Linked DNA regions of Notamacropus eugenii. The protein of the gene in region 2 purifies or fractionates together with the protein of the main gene of each other region. This does not show direct contact. Links are inferred from orthologs where the notes say so. Each region holds a gene or a part of one and is shown on either strand. Other genes may lie near its edges.

Region 1 (7,967 bases), on a different chromosome or scaffold from region 2:
GAGCACTTAGAGCTTAGTCAGACATCCCTGGTCATCACCAGTCATCTTAACTTTTGTCTTGCCACTGGACTTCAGTGACCCAGGAAGAGAGAGTAAGGCTTTTTGGAGGCTTTGTGCAACTCTGCCTCACTTAAATCCAATTCACAAATCAGTCAAGAAATCACCTGTGATATCACTGGTTGTCTTTGAAATGAAGGACAAACAATGACAACAAACAACCACCACAATCTCTGACTCATACCGTCTAGCTGATCCTAGCAAGCCAGTTATATTTCTATTGGTTCTGGCTACTCTCAAAGACTATAACTTGCTGACCGGTTGCTGTGTTAGTAGAAGGAATTCCTTCCCTAGGAATTTCCTTCACTAATGAAACTAAAGGTTTAGTCAAACACACACATACATACATAGAAAACAACCATATAAGGTACTAAATGAAAGTTCTCATTCTCAAAAGGCTTACTTTCTACTAAGTGTGTGTCTCTCTGTACGTGTATTGGGGGAAGCAGGTAGAACTTGTACAAAGGGACCTTCAAATGTCAGGTATGAGCAACAGAAAGAAGGCAGGTGAGCTTGATCTCAGAGCTCTGGAAGTGGGAGTAAGTTCAAGTAATCCAAGATGGCCCTTGAAAGAAGCTATTGTTTTGATGAGGTAGAGAGGTGAGGCAGAAGCAGATTCCAGGCAAGCAGAGTAGTCTGTGCAAAGGCAAGAGATACTGGAGGTGGAATATTGAGTTCAGGGACCTGAATGGGCCAGTTTGGCTCAGATAGAGCACGTGAAAGGAAGAAATATGAAACAAATCTAGAAAGGCACATAGCCTTTCAATGTCCACCATGACCAGAGACTTCGTATTTTATCCTAGGGATAACAGGGAGCCACTGATAGGTCTAAAGCTTGACAGTGATGTGGTCAGTCTTGGAGAACATGATGCTGCTCAAGCGCAAGACACAGGGATCAGGAGGCACTTGACCATTTGCAGTTTCTCTTTTCTGGTGGCTACAGGGAAAGGAGGAGTTGGCTTATGGAATGATATCTCATTCCCATTCCCTTTGCTTTATAACCTGATTTGGTTTTTTTTAATAGTTTTTTTTCCTAACTACATGTAAAAGCAATTTTTAACATTTTTTAAAATAAAATTTTGAGCTCTAAATTTTCTCCCTACTTCCCTATTCTCCCCCCTCCCTAAAATGGTAAGCAATTTGATATAGATTATATATGCAATCATGTAAAACCTATTTTCATATTAGTCATATTGTGAAAGAAGAAACAATCTGTAAAAAAGTACACACACACAAGTGAAAATAGTATGCTTCTATCTCCATAGTTCTTTCTCTGGATATGGATAGCATTTTCCTTCCTTAGTCCTTTGGAATTGTCTTGGATCATTGTATTGCCAAGAAGAGCTAAGTCCATCACAGTTGATCATTCCACAATGTTGCTCTTACTGTGTACAACGTTCTCCTGGTTTTGTTCACTTTACTCAGCATCAGTTCAAGTAAGTCTTTCCAGGTTTTTCTGAAATCTGCCTGCTCATCATTTCCTATAGCACAATAGTATTCCATTACATTCATATACCACAGCTTGTTCAGCCATTCCCCAATTGATGGAAATCCTCTGAATTTCCAATTCTTTGCCATCACAAAAAGGGCTGCTATACATTTGTAAACATGGATCCTTTTTCCATTTTTATCTCTTTGGGATACAGACCTGGAAGTGGTACTGCTGGGTCAAAGGGTATGCACAGTTTTATAGCCCTTGAAGCATAGTTCCAAAGTGCTCTTCAGAAAGACTGGATCAGTTCACAACTCCACCAATAGTGCATTAGTGTTCCTTTTTCCCCATGACCTTTCCAACATTCATCATTTTCCTTTTCTGTCATATTAGCCAATCTGATAGGTGTGAGGTAGTACCTCAGAACTGTTTTAATTTGCATTTCTCTAATAATGATTTACAGCATTTTTATAGGACTACAGCTTTGATTTCTTCATCTGAAAACTGCCTGTTCATATCCTTTGACCACTTATCAATTGGAGAATGACTTGTATTTCTATAAATTTGACTCAGTTCTCTATGTATTTCAGAAATGAGCCTTTTTTCAGAAACACTTGCTGTAAAAATTGTTTCCCAGCTTTCTGCTTTCCTTCTAATCTTGCTTGCATTGGTTTTGTGCAAAACTTTTTAAATTTAATATAATCAAAATTATCCATTTTACATCTTGGAATGCTTTCTATTTCTTGTTTGTTCATAAGACCTGACAGGTAAACTATTCCCAGCTCTCCTAAATTGCTTATGGCATCACTCTTTATATCTAAATCATGTACCCATTTTGCTGGTCCCTGTTTTTTGAACAGTGAACTATAACCACAGGGAACTGGGATAAAACTGGACATAGGTCAAGTTATCTGGAACACTTAGATTACAGACAACCAGGCTGATGCTTTGTCCAGTTGAGGTGCTAGTTAGGGTAAGATCACTGTTATGCAAGTTTTAATTACTAGTTTGCAGGACAGAGGCACATAAATCATTAGCATGGGAGACTCCCAAGTCTGCATGCAAGTCCCTAGGCCTGCCTGAGAACTAGGGACTTGGATTCTTCAGGATTCATGGAACTGTTTAAGCCCCAGGACAGGGGTAAAGCATAAGTCTGGGAGTATCATAGAAAAAGGTGTAGTGTTACCTAGCAGCTTGATCTGTCAGGGGGAATGGAAATCCCAGGTGGGAAAGAGGAGTGTGAAACTGATCAAAGCAGGAATATATCATCACTGCAAGGCAGACATCATACAGAATCCTTGGAGCTGGGAAGCCTCTGCGCATCAGCCATCTCAGACCTCTTTGACTCTCTTGGAAAGGGAATATGTGTCTCACTGTCTGGATTCTTCTTGGATATATTCAGAGATGGAAACTCCACACCTTTCCATTATTTGCTCAGTCTAGTGTTTGTTTTCTCTCAATGAAAACAATGTAACTTCCTCCAGTTTTAAGACAATTTTCACTTGTTAAGGCTTCTGTGTATACAAAGATATGACCATGGGTTCCTGAAAGTATCATTAATCAACAAACAAGACTTTATTAAGCTCCTACTGTGTGTCAGGAGAGGCAGTATGGTGTAGTGGAGAGAGAACCACCTCAAAGACAGGAACAACTGGGTTCCAATTCTGCCTCTGATATACACTGGAAAGACAAGATTAGGCAGAGTCTGTCTGAGAAAGATCTAAGGGTTTTGGTGAACTACAAGCTCAGTGTCAATGACCAGCAGGCTAGCACCCTGAATTATTGGAGGCAATGGAGCCAGGAGAGACTGTGTCTGCAGTACTGGCACCACAATATAGGATGGATGATAAGCCGAAGAGTGTCCTGACAAGGGTTCCTTTAAGGTGTAATGAATAAAGTAATAATAAATTTAATAATATAAATAAAAAAATAAAAGGATGGCCATTTGGCCAGCTCTCTTAGACCAAAGATCCCTCATGGTGGTAGGCTCACAGTTTACATGCCCTTTGAAGAATCAGTGTTCTTGAGGGGGTGCCTAATCAGCTCTGTTTGGTTAACACAATGGGAGGTATGGGCTATATTAAAATGAAAATCTTGGGGGTAAAAGTTCACTCAAATCTTGGTCAAAGATATATCAATTTCCATATCACCTGTCTTGATAATAGGGGGACTCAACCTTTCCCTAGATCTGTCAGAGCAAACACAGTGAGCAAAAATGCATCTATCAGCCCAAACTTAGAATTTCTTTTACTGTCTGATTAAATCTTGGCCTCGGTAAATCTCTAAGAGGGATTTCCCACACTGGTTGGTTTCTGGATGAGGAAGTAGAAAAGGGGAAAAACCCTGGTCCTAATATAATAATTAAATATGAGAAATATTAATTTCTCACAGTCATGCTACACGTTGTAATGTTGATCAGCTTTGAAAAAGTTGGCCACTCTGATCATTACAATGTTCCAAGACAATTCCAAAGAATTCATGAAGAAAAATACTAACTCCAGAAAGAGAACTGATGAACTCTGAGGCAAATTGAAGTATAATTTTCTTGCTTTCTTTTTTTTTCCTTTTGTGATAAGGCTCATATGGAAAGGTTTGCATGATTTCAAACATATAATTGATATCATGATTGTCCTCCCAGTGAGTGGTAGAGGAGGTGGGAGTGAGATAATTTGGAACTCAAATTTTTTTAAATGTTTAAAATAGTAAAATAAAATGTTTTTTAAAAAGGAAAATGCCATATGAGGATAGACCGAAGGAATTAGAAGTGCTTAGACTATAGAAGACTGGGGGTGGGGTAGGGAGTTTTGGAAAGGGCTATCTCAAGGAATAAGGATTTGACTTTTCTTTTCCCTAAAAGGCAGAACTAGAAGCAGGGCGTAAAAGTTGCAAAGAGGTATATTAAGGCAAATGTAAAGAAAAATTTCATCACCACTAGGACTATACATTATGTAAACACATATATAAACATTAGAGCTGTCACAAAGTGGAATGGGGTGCGGGGAGGGGGCTCTGTAGGGAATAGAGTTCATCCCATCACTCCTCAAGCCCAGGCTGGATTTGAACTCAGGACTCTGTTAGGTCTCGCCCAGCTCTATCCTCTTCCTCCCCCACATAGACCATCACGCTCATCACCGTTTCCACTGCTCTGGAAGCACTTTAGAGTCTCTCGTTTGGTTCCCACAACCACGCTAGGAGGTTACTGCGCCCATTTGGTAGATGAAGAAACACGAAGCACGTAGAAGATGGGGTCAACCGACCGGGAAGGTTTTGGGATCCACGCCGCTCGTCTAGCCCCGCCCCCGGCCCCGCCCCCGTAGCCCTCCCCGCTCCCGGCGGCCGTTGTCCCGGTTGCCCCGGCGACGCGGCGGATGTGACGGCATGACGTCGGCGTGGGGACGCTCGGGCACTTCCGGCCGACGGCGGGCGGCGGCGGCGCTGGGGTCTGTAAGTGTGTGGGGCGGTGCGGAGGCAGCGGCCTCCTCGGCTCGCTCTCTCTCCCGCCCTCCCTTCTTCCCTGCCCCTCGGGCTCCCCCCGCCTGGGCCCCAGGCCCGGCCCAGTCCGGCGCGGTGGCCGGACCTCAGGTGCGGGCAGGCCGCGCGAGAGCGACCGACCGTACTGAACCAAGCCCGCCTCCCTCCTGCCCGCGGGCCTCGGGGGACGGGGGGAGGGGCGCAGCACCCGAGGCTTGGGCTGCGAGGGGGGCGTCTTGCTGCGAGACCTGGGCGGGTGGCTGCTCCTCTACGACCGTCGGTGTCCTTATCTCCCCAGCGAGGGGCTCGAGTTTCTCTCTGTGGCCCCTCCTTCCAGCCCTAGCCGCCCGTGGCCCCGTGGGCTGAGCAGGGGTGCTTGCGGGGGGGCCCGGAGGCTGGAATGGGAGCCAGAGATCCCCAAGGGCCCTGGGGTTCCCAACCCTGAACCACGCACTCCTTTCGGAAGGGATAGGTCCTTGCACCCATGCCGGGCGAGGACCGAGGAGGGGAGAAGTTACTCGTGAAATTCCTAACACCTGGGGCGGGGTGGGGAAGGGGCTGGGCCCGCTCCATGTGGACACCCCTCCCCCCCAAACAGTTTCCCTGCTCCCTTCCTGACGTGGTACTGATGAAGCATCTCCAAAGTTTTGCTCAGATCTGAGATTCTTGTTTGACTCCATAGTGGTTGGGTGTGTTATTCCATATTATCCTCTCACTCGTGAAATAGTTTATTCCTAAATTATGAAAGATATGATTCCAGCTTTCTTAGGAAATTTATTGTAGAATTAAAGGGATGACTAAACTGGACACTTTATTTGATCGTGGTGACTGATATTCACACCAGAGTTTGTATTTGACAGGGGCCAGTTAATTTTTCATTAGCTCTGCCTTATTCCACAGCGATGTACTGCACCACTAGCTGACTAGCTGTCTTTTATATGCACATTAATCAGAGCCTGTTGTCACTATTATGAAATTAAGTCATTCCTGTTTTATGAAGTGTGGCTTTAAGCATTGTTAGTTAGCTCCTTAATAGAGGTTTTCTCAGTTTGAAGTGAAAATGAGGTTTCATTTTTTGGGGGGGAGGGAGGAGCTGTAACTATGACCCTTTACATTTTGGGAGGACTGTGTGGCTTAAAGTAGGCAGGTCACTTAAACTCTCTGAAATCTTTGATCTGCAAAATTCAGGGAGTTGAACTACATGATTTCTACAGTCTTTTCCATTTCTAAAGCATCTGGGTCTATCAAAGGCAGATAGCAGCTCATTGTAATGAAGGATTTCCTAATAACCAGCTGTCCAGCAGTGGATTATGAGATAATTTTTACAGTTTGCGAATCCGTGAAACTGAAAGTAATGACATTCAGGATGTTATCTTTCTCTTCTTAGCTAGAGAAACAGATTTCCAGATGAGTGGAAAATACATGATTTTTCCAAAGAAGACCACTATGTGCTACATATTATATATACAGGAGCAAGTCTCTGTTTGGTCTCTATATAGTCCTTGGTAGTCCAAGATGGTGCAGCTAATTATGCTGCTGTTTGTGTAGACCTGAAGTGCCTAGTATGTTCGAGACAATAAAACAATCTCTCCCCTCAAGCTTATGTTCTATCTTCCAGCTTGTACACAGATAAGTGTAGAGGAAAATTGAGGAGGCAAAGAAATCCAGGGAGCAAAGGCATCATGGAAGGCTTCATGAGGAACTGGCGCATTAACTAAGTCTTGGAGAATGCCAAATTCTGAGGCAATGAATGCACAGAAGAGAGAAGGGATCAAGTGAAGGGAGCAACACTAGTTTGGCTAGAATGTAGAGTTCTTGAAAGGGTTTGTACAAAATAAAGCTGAGAAGGCTGGATGGGAGCAAGACTGTGGAGGGTATAAATGCCTGGCCAGAAGTTTGTGCTTTTGCCTATGGGCACTAGGAACCCCTAAGGTTTTTGAGCATGAAAGACACATGGTCAGATATTTGTCCTAGTTGTGATGAAGAAGCAGCAAATTTGTGACTTGTATATTTTTTCTGTGTGGACTACACAAGTATCATGGATCTCTACCCTCAGGTCCTGTCCTGCCTCCAGTTTGCAGGTTCTGTTATTGTTTATAACATAGCATCATTTCTGAAATTACTTAAGCTAAAAAGTAGGATTATGACTGTTGAGTACTTTGTAGTCTTTGAAGTTGTGTTTTAGATTGGAAAGGAATGTGACTACTTTAAAATAAACAAAGTATTCCATGTGCTTTGTTTTGTTTCATTAGTGGATACAGTACTGAAAGACTCAGGATATGATTTCTTCCCATGTCTAGTTTCTACTCAGATCCCTTCTGTCAGTATTGATTTTGTGTCTCTAGAACCTATCTATCCCAGGAGTACAGATTGCCCCTTGCAAGGTCTATGATAGACTGATGGCCTCCACTTGTTTACAAGGGGTGAATACAGCTACCATGTAGAGTGAAGTCCATATCCACTTAATAGTACTTTATACCAAGTAACAAGGCTCTGGTTTTTCTGTTTCCCACCTCCAGGTTTGCTCATCTTTTTTCCCTTCCTTGGAATTTGAGCCTCCTCCCAAGTTGGCTTAGTCTTTGAGCTGAAATCCAGCTACCTACTGTATCCCTTCAACCTTTTATGACTCCTGGCATTCACAGGGTTCTTTCCTCTTGATTCCTAGATCATGTATAGTTAATACCATTTATATGATACATGTCCTACAGCAAGTGCCCAGGGTGGTAGTGATTTGTGTGTGTCCTATCTCCTCAATGAGAGTGTTTAGATTGGGGTAGCATCAACAGTGGCTGAAATCGTACCTGGAGTATGATTTGGAAGTAGGGGCCAGACGGCCAGTTAGAAGGCATTTCTGTCACTGTGGAATGGAGCAGAGAGGGGCTCACTAAGCATTTGCTGAAACAAGGAAGGTAGTTGCATATTCTTTGTCCTCCCTGAGTTTACCTCAGGGTGCTCTTCCTGAACAGGCTGTTGTGATACATCACATCCTGTGGAGCCTGAGTGTTTT
Region 2 (7,718 bases):
AGATCCCCAGGGACCACACTGCCGCAGACCTGCCATGGTATCGGTGGTAACGGATCCACTCTGGTGGGCTATACACCCGCGTCCCTGCAAAATACATCATGGGAGATTAGTAGGGGAAAACATGCTATTTTTCTAACCAAAGAGAAAAAAAAATGGTATACAGTTTTCTAACCCAAGTATTTCATACTGCGAGTGCTAAGTGTTTGTTAAGGATTAATAAGGGAATAGTAGGTGGCTCATGATATTTCCTGGATGTCTAACAATAAACTTAAGTTCTGTAAAAATTTGCTTCAAGAAATAGGACTTTTTTTTTTTTTGGTAAAGAAGATAGACACCAAACACAAACAGATCACCAAATTTATATGCTAGAATATATAGGGAATAGAGTTTGAATCCCAACTTTTTTCCTTTTGGGGGTACAGAACCTATTATGACAGAAACACTTATTATGAACAATTAATAATTTCCAAGAGACAACCTGGACTACCACTTGGAATATCTATGACTTGACTTCTTAAGTATAACTGCTACCTTTTGCTTGTCTTCTCAATGGGTGGGAGAGGAGGAAAAAATGCAGGACTCAAAATTTTTAAAAAAATGCTAAAAATAAACAATTAAAAAAGCTATCACTGCTTTTAGGTTCCTTTCTTCTTTGGCACCATATCCAGAACTGAAAACATTAAGCTTATGTTTAAATATAAGAATTTAAAACTTTCAAGTAATCTAGAATGTGATTTCAGATTTCAATAATTTAAAAAAACTTTTAAAATATCCTTGTGCTGAAGCAGATGTACAAATAAAAGCTCCATTTTACAGACAGGGAAACTGATGCTCAGAAAGCATCTGACCACATTCGGAGAACTGGTAAATGAGGGATTCTTCTGAGTCTCACGTTTCCTCTTTGGTAAAAAAGGAGATTTGGACTAGATCTCTTAAGCCCATTTTTCAAATCTAAATGCCAAGGTCGAACCTGCCCCCCCACCTTTCAGGAGACCACCCATAATAAAAATCAGAGTAGGTCTTAAGGAAATCTGACATACTTACAACCAACTATTCTTAAAAGTAAATTCAAATGTTGCCAACACTTGACTCTCATCCAAATTGGTACACTTCCATGACATCAGAAATTGGGCTCCCATGCCCTAGTAAATGCTATTATGCCCAGAGCATGTGCTTAGCCCAAGCCCACGCCCTCTTCTCCTGGCCACCACCTCCTCTTCCCCAGGCAGGAAGAGTAGGCTGAGGTCAGAGCAGTAGGGCTGGTTTCTAGGCCACGTGATTCCTGTTTACAAACTTTGGGTTGTAAAAAAAAAAAAGGCACACCCCTGCTTCTCGCTCACCAGGGGGCAGCAGAGGCCTGGAAAGGTGGGAGGGTCCTGCCAGCCATTAACTGTGAAATACAAAAAATGCAGCCCAGGCCCAGCATCTTCCAAGGGCAAATAAACACAAACCGCAAGCCCGAGTCACAGGTTTTGAAAGTCAGCAGTTTGCTCGCCTCAACCTCTCAGATCATTCCCCACCCCTCCTATTCTTTGATGTCAAGTGCAGGGAAGCTCCCACATTCCTCCCTGCTGCAGAAAGGACCAGCCCCAAACCCCTCCCCTTACCCTAATGCCTCTGTTTGGCACCGGGCGAGGGGAGAGTGGTGAGATCAAGCGGGAGGGGGTGGGGGCAGAATGAACTCATTTTAAAATCTACAGATCTTATTTCACAACATTCATCCCTGAACTGAAAAACAAAAACAAACCACTACCACCTTTACCAGCAGAATGAATAATTTAGTGAAAAGACAAGAGAACAGTTTCTCCTTCCTGACTGACTCAGCTAGTTCAAAAGAAAAATAAACCGAGACCACCCACAAGAAACTACCAGCAAATTCCCTTTCCAAAGCCCTTTCTCCCTCCCCTCATCACTCTGTCCTCAACACCCCCTCAGTGCTCGGGAAAGTGGGTCAGGATTTTAAAATCTGGGCTATGACAAGTCAGGTTTGGTGGAAGCCGGTCTCCCCGTGAACTAAGCGGGCAGGTTAGGAGGGGAACGCCACAACTCAGGTTCTCGATACAGACAGCAGAAGCTCGCTCCTTTCTGAGCCTATCAAAGCCCTAAAGGCTAGGTCGGGGGTCTCCTCTAAGCGCACAGCACAACTTCCAAGGTCTGCTGTCTCCCGCCCCACCCTCTGGAAGCGGCCCCGCTTCTTCCAGCCAGGCAAGATGACCTTTGGAAAAAGGTCGGCGAAGAAGGCCCCTGAGGAGGGGGACAGTTGTAGGTCAGGGCAGCACCTGCCTTTTCCCGGGGTCTCCACTCACCGTCAAAGTCGGTGTAGACGGTGTCCTTGAGCAGCGCCCCGGACCCGAAGTCAATCAGCTTGAGCTCCCCCCGGTTGAGGTCGATGAGAATGTTTTCGTCCTTGATGTCTCGGTGCAGCACCCCACAACTGTGGCAGTGTCTGACAGCCTCCAGCACCTGCCAGAAGAAGCTCCGGGCCAGCTCCTCCTGCAGGGCTCCCCTCTCCGTGATGAAGTCGAAGAGGTCCTGGACCGGCTCCGGGCGCTCCAGCACCAGGATGAAGCTGTCGGGCCTCTCGAACCAGTCCAGAAGTCGGATGACCCCCGGGAACCCCGAACTCACTTTCTTCAACAGGAGAATTTCCATGGGCACTCGGCTGCCATTGGGCTGCGGACAAGAGTCACGGGGGTCAGGAGACACGCGGGGACACAGCCAGGCTCACGCCCCCACCCCCAAAGACACGGGTCCCAGGCACTTACCAGCTCCCCCCAGTCCGAGATCCTGTCCCGGTCCACGTGCTTGATAGCAACCTGCAAAGCCCCCAAGGGGAAGGTCGGAGGTTAGCGCCGAGCCCCCTCCCCAGGCCCGCCCCCGCACAGCTCTCCCTCCGCCTCCCCCTCCACTCCGAGCCGGACCCGGGGCCAGGCGGAGTCGAGGGAGGGCTCCCCGGCGTTTTCGGAGCCCGCTTACCGGCGCGCCATCTGCCAGCCGGGTGCCCGAGTAGACCGACCCAAAGCCACCGCTGCCCAGCAGCGGGCCCACCTGGTACTGCTTCTCCAGGGGCTCCTTTTCTTTCCCTACGGAGGAAAAAGCCCCGTCAGGGACTGTTGGAAGCGGCCCCCTGCCCATCCCGGCACCCCCCCGTCAGTGCCCGCATCTCCTTTCCTCCCGGGACGCCCCTTCCCCAAGCGTCCTCGTCCTCGCCGGCTCTGCCCTGCCGGCGGGCACCCTGCCCCGGCTCCCCGCCCCTGACCCCGCCGTCCTCCCTGCCCCGTAGGTCCGGTGCGGTCCGGTGCGGGTCCCCGCCCTCCACCCCGGGGTGGGTCCTCACCGGGAGGCAGCTTGGCCGGGTGCAGCTCCACGCAGGGCCCGGAGCACAGGTGGGCCAGGGAGTTGATCTTGGACAGCAGCATCCCAGGGTACAGGGGTGACAGGGCGATGGGGCGGACGCCGCTGGGGCCGGGCGGAGCGTGGGGGGGCAGGCGGGGATTGGGGTGGGGGCGCTGCCGGGGCGGCTTGGCGGGATCAGTGTGCCGCAGCGGAGCCCGCGGCGCTGCGGTGCCGAGCTCGCCGCTGCAGAAGCCGGCCCGTCGCTGCTGCCGCCGCCGCTGCCTCCGCCGCCGCCGCCGCTGCCGCTGCTGCTGCTGCTGCTGCGGCTGGTGCTGCGGCTGCTCGGGCTGGGGCTGCTCGGGCTGGGGCTGCTCGGGCTGCCGCTGCTGCTGCCGCCGCCTCTGCCCCGGGAGCCGCCGCCGCCGTCCCTGCTGTTTCTTAGACTTCTTCCGCCGCCGCCACCGCCACCGCCACCGCCGCCGCTTCTGCCGCCGCCGCCGCAGACGCCCGGCTCGCCCGGCAGCCAGGAGTAAAGGGGGCGTAGCGCGCGGGAGCGGGGGGGCGGGGGGCGGGCGCGCGAGCGGACGGGCGGGGCCTCTCCGGGAGGCTGGGCGGGGCGGTCGGGGGCGGGGCGCCCGGCTGCCGAGTCGCTGGTGGGAAGACAAGGGGGGGTGGAGGGTGGGGAAAGCAGCTGGGAAGGAGAATTCCCCACCGCACGGCCGGCACGACCAAACCCCGCCCCCGCAAGGCCGCCCCCAGCCAACCAGAGCCCAGCGGATCTGCATAAAGCAAATGCCCCGCCCCCAGAGGCCCCCTCCCCCCACCGTCAGAATGGTAGCTACGCCGCCTCGACGTGGCGGGAAGGAAAAGGCGCCAAAATGGAGGGGGAGGGGCGAGAGAAGTGCGGGCTCCGAGAGGAGGAGGCGGGAGCCGGGTGCAGGGCCACGGGGAGGAAGGATGGGGAGGGGCTTATCAATTCAAACCCAAACAATAACAAAAGCCATCAAAGGAAGCTTGGGGTCTGCCCACCTCTCCCTCTCTCTCCCTCTTTCTCCCTCCCTCTCTCTCTCCATCTCCTCCCTCTCTCCCCCACCTTCCCCCCTCTCCCCTCTCTCCTTTCTTTCCCTTTCTCTGTCTCTTCTTCTCCTCTGCCCCGTTCTCTTTCTCTATGCGGTAGAGCCTTGGGGTCAGGCTTGCCGTAGACCAAGTTCGGGGACGATTGGTGGCAGCGGAGGGGGTTGGGTGTGTATGTCGAGCAGGGTGGTCGGGGACGGGGGGTGAGTGTCTTTGTGTGTGTGCGTTTGTGTGTGCGTGACCTCCATGCCCGCTCTGCCTGGCTCAGTGGACGCGGGCTTCGCTCCCGGGGAGCCCGCGGTTGAAGGGCAAGCGCCCATCGGTGCGGGTGAGGGGGTGGAGGGTGGCACTGCAGGGCTGTGAGTCACCAAAGGAATGGGGATGTCTCATAGGTCTTTGGAACAAAAGTGGGCTCCGAACTCTCAAAAACCAAGGGAAGGGTTATTTATCCATCCGGATGATTTCAGCCTTTCTACAAGAGGTGGCATTTAGATACTTTGTACAATTAAAAAGAAGAAAAGAGGGCCAGGGTAGCCGTCATCCCCGCCTCCGCTCCAGACGCGGTTCAGCCCGGGTCCTGCGCAGGGTGCGGTGGCACGGGGACATCCCGCTCCTGCGAGCGGAGTCCCAGCCCATCTGGATCGGAAGCTCCCGGTTTCATTCACAGTTTTCACCTCCCTCCCCCACCCTGGCCACACCCAGCTTTGTTGCTACTATGTTGCTCGTCCCGAGCCTGCTCCGGCCCCACCTTCCTAACCGTGCACTAACTGCTAACAAAGTGCGAAAGGAGCCACTGAATTTTCCCTCCTTCCTTTAAGAGGATGTCTAACCATGAAACACACTGAGTTAAGATGACGGGGGGGAGCGCGGATGAGAACGGAGCACCTCCACCCGGACTCCACAGGTCCGAAACGGAATTCACTAAGCGTGCCACCGCCCCGAAGCATCCCGCAAACTTCTCTACTTCTGCTGAAGGCGTCCGGGTTCCCACCTCGCTCCAGACGTCGTGGACTCACCTCCCTCCCTTTGCTCCCCTCCACCTGGTGCTTTCAGCATCCTTCATTATCACCCAGTCACATCCCTTCTAATTCGTTCCTCAACTTCCAGTCACCCTTCTCCAATCCAGCCTCCATCCTGCTGATCTAAGTTTCCCCATTCCTCTCTTCCAAAGTCTTCCGTAGCTCCCTGCTGCCTCCAGGACAAAATACAAATTCCTCCATCTGGCAGGGATTTTCCAATGAAAGAGCACCTCCAAAATCAGGCTCCCACCTATGATTCTGAATTTATTTCATATTGTTCCCTTTTATTACCTCTGTTAGTATAATCTGCATCTCCTTTGCAGAGGTTGCCCTGCTGGGCTTGGAATGCACTTCTCCCCTTATTTCTTTCTGGAATTCCAGGTTTCCTTCAAAAGTTCAGATCCCATTCCTCTAGTCCATTCTGAAATTTCTTTGTATTTTCATTTGTGGGCACAGGTGTTTTATCCCTTCAGTACTTACGTTAGTAAGCTGCTTGAGGGTAGGAGCTGTTTTGTCTTTGTATGGTCTAAATGCATAGCACTATCACTTTTTCCTTAATTCCTCCTTCACATATCTTGAACATAGTAGGTTTGAAAATAAAACTGTTTAGTGAGCAGGATTTTATTTTAAATACTTCATGCTTAGGTTGCTGCTGCTTGAAAGGAAAAATAGGGAAGTGTCTGAATGACGGACAACCACTGTCAACTGTAACGTTTACATATTTTACTAAAAACCTGGCGCTGTTATTTGCTCATGTTATTTATGTAGCACATTTGTTAGTCAATTTCCTTTCATTTTCTTGTTTGTGTGTTATGGATTAATTAAGAATAACTCACATTTGTATCATTTCCTCAGAACAATCCCTTGACTTAAGTACAAATAGTATCCAACCAAACTCTGAGAGGTTCTCATTTGTCTGTTAGCACTCAGATAGTAAGTGTCTGAAATAGAATTTTAAAATCCAGGTCTTTCGACTCCCAATCCACCACACTGGTGCTGAAATCTAATGTTTGATGTTAAGACAATGAGACATAGTTTGTCCCAACATTCATTGCCTTTGTACATATTATTAAAATGGATGATGAATGAATACACTAAAAGACTAACTGACTCCAAACTCTTTAACTTGGCCCAGCCTTCCAGACAGGCCTTATTTCTCAGGAACCTTGATCTCAGGGCCTATCACTTCAATCTAAATTGGATTTGTTCTATCTCCTAGGATCCTATTATATTCCTAAATATGCTTTGCATTTTTCAACCTCATCGCTTCCTCTATCCTAATCAAGTACTGTTATTGTTGAGTTTTGTCGGGACTTCTCTACCCTGTGGGCCATAACACACCAATACTGTCTATGGAATTTTCTTGACAAAGATCCTGGAGTGGTTTGCTATTTCCCCCGCCAGGGTATTAAGGCAAACGGAGGTTAAGTGACTTGCCCAGGGGCACAGCTAAGTAAGTGTGTCTGAGACCGGATTTGAACTCTGGTCTTTCTGACTCCAGTACCAGTGCTCTATTCACCGAGCAAACTAGCTGCTCCAAACAATTACTCCTTAAAAATTCAGCTCTGAGCTCCTTCATGGAGCCTTCCTAGCCTACTCTACTCTCCTATTGCCTATTCTACATATTTGGTGATAAAATAATAATAAAAAATAAACCTTGTGGCATGTCTTGTACTGTTGTGTTATTTATTGCTGTTTTACTTTTTATCCATTGTCTGCCTAACCTCCAGCATAACCGCCTCAGAGGCAGTATGATTTTGATATTAAGTGCACTGCTCTTCAAATGATAAAGATTTGAGTTCTCACTGTATTTTGCCAAGTGTGCGACCGTAAACTTTGTAAATTATAAAGATTATATAAACATGAGCCATTTGTCCTTGCGTATATAGCTACATTTTATTGTTATTTTACATTTTCAATAGCATATAAGCACAATACCTTGAAGGCAGTAGGCTCTTAGTAAATATTCCTTGATTGAGAGTAGCCTGGAGCACTGAGGTTTAGGGCTTCATCCAGGTTTACAGCCAGCCTGTATCAAAGCTGAGCTTGAAGCTAAGATTTTTAGACCCTTTAAAAGCCCTGCTCACTAAAGCTGCCTATTTTCATTGAAAGGAGAAAGTGAAGCTTTACAGGATGACTTTTAAGAGAAATCTTAGGATCAATATTAAACCTTGTTGCAGTGTTGTGTGTATTATGCAGATCCTACTGTCTGAGTAAGCCCTTTTGCATGAGTCTTTACCAGCTTCATGATCAATTACTCTCTAACTCCTTTCAACTTCCTGAGCTGCA

The links. The genes of interacting proteins can lie anywhere in the genome.
Region 1: the proteins of PIM1 (region 2) and EDC3 purify together in Homo sapiens (affinity purification with mass spectrometry; 3 studies listed by BioGRID and IntAct, counting the BioPlex papers as one, with this or other methods). This does not show direct contact. The link is inferred for Notamacropus eugenii from reciprocal best matches to the Homo sapiens genes PIM1 and EDC3.

Annotation. Positions count from the first base shown.
Region 1 is NC_092872.1:241,458,910-241,466,876, forward strand, and holds the start of EDC3 (enhancer of mRNA-decapping protein 3), read left to right. Parts: upstream 1-4,847; 5' UTR 4,848-4,929; exon of another isoform or gene 4,930-4,933; intron 4,934-5,655; exon of another isoform or gene 5,656-7,967. UniProt on the Homo sapiens protein: Binds single-stranded RNA. Involved in the process of mRNA degradation and in the positive regulation of mRNA decapping. May play a role in spermiogenesis and oogenesis.
Region 2 is NC_092873.1:94,838,751-94,846,468, reverse strand, and holds the start of PIM1 (serine/threonine-protein kinase pim-1), read right to left. Parts: upstream 3,420-7,718; coding exon 3,338-3,419; intron 3,084-3,337; coding exon 2,977-3,083; intron 2,817-2,976; coding exon 2,766-2,816; intron 2,674-2,765; coding exon 2,307-2,673; intron 85-2,306; coding exon 1-84. UniProt on the Homo sapiens protein: Proto-oncogene with serine/threonine kinase activity involved in cell survival and cell proliferation and thus providing a selective advantage in tumorigenesis.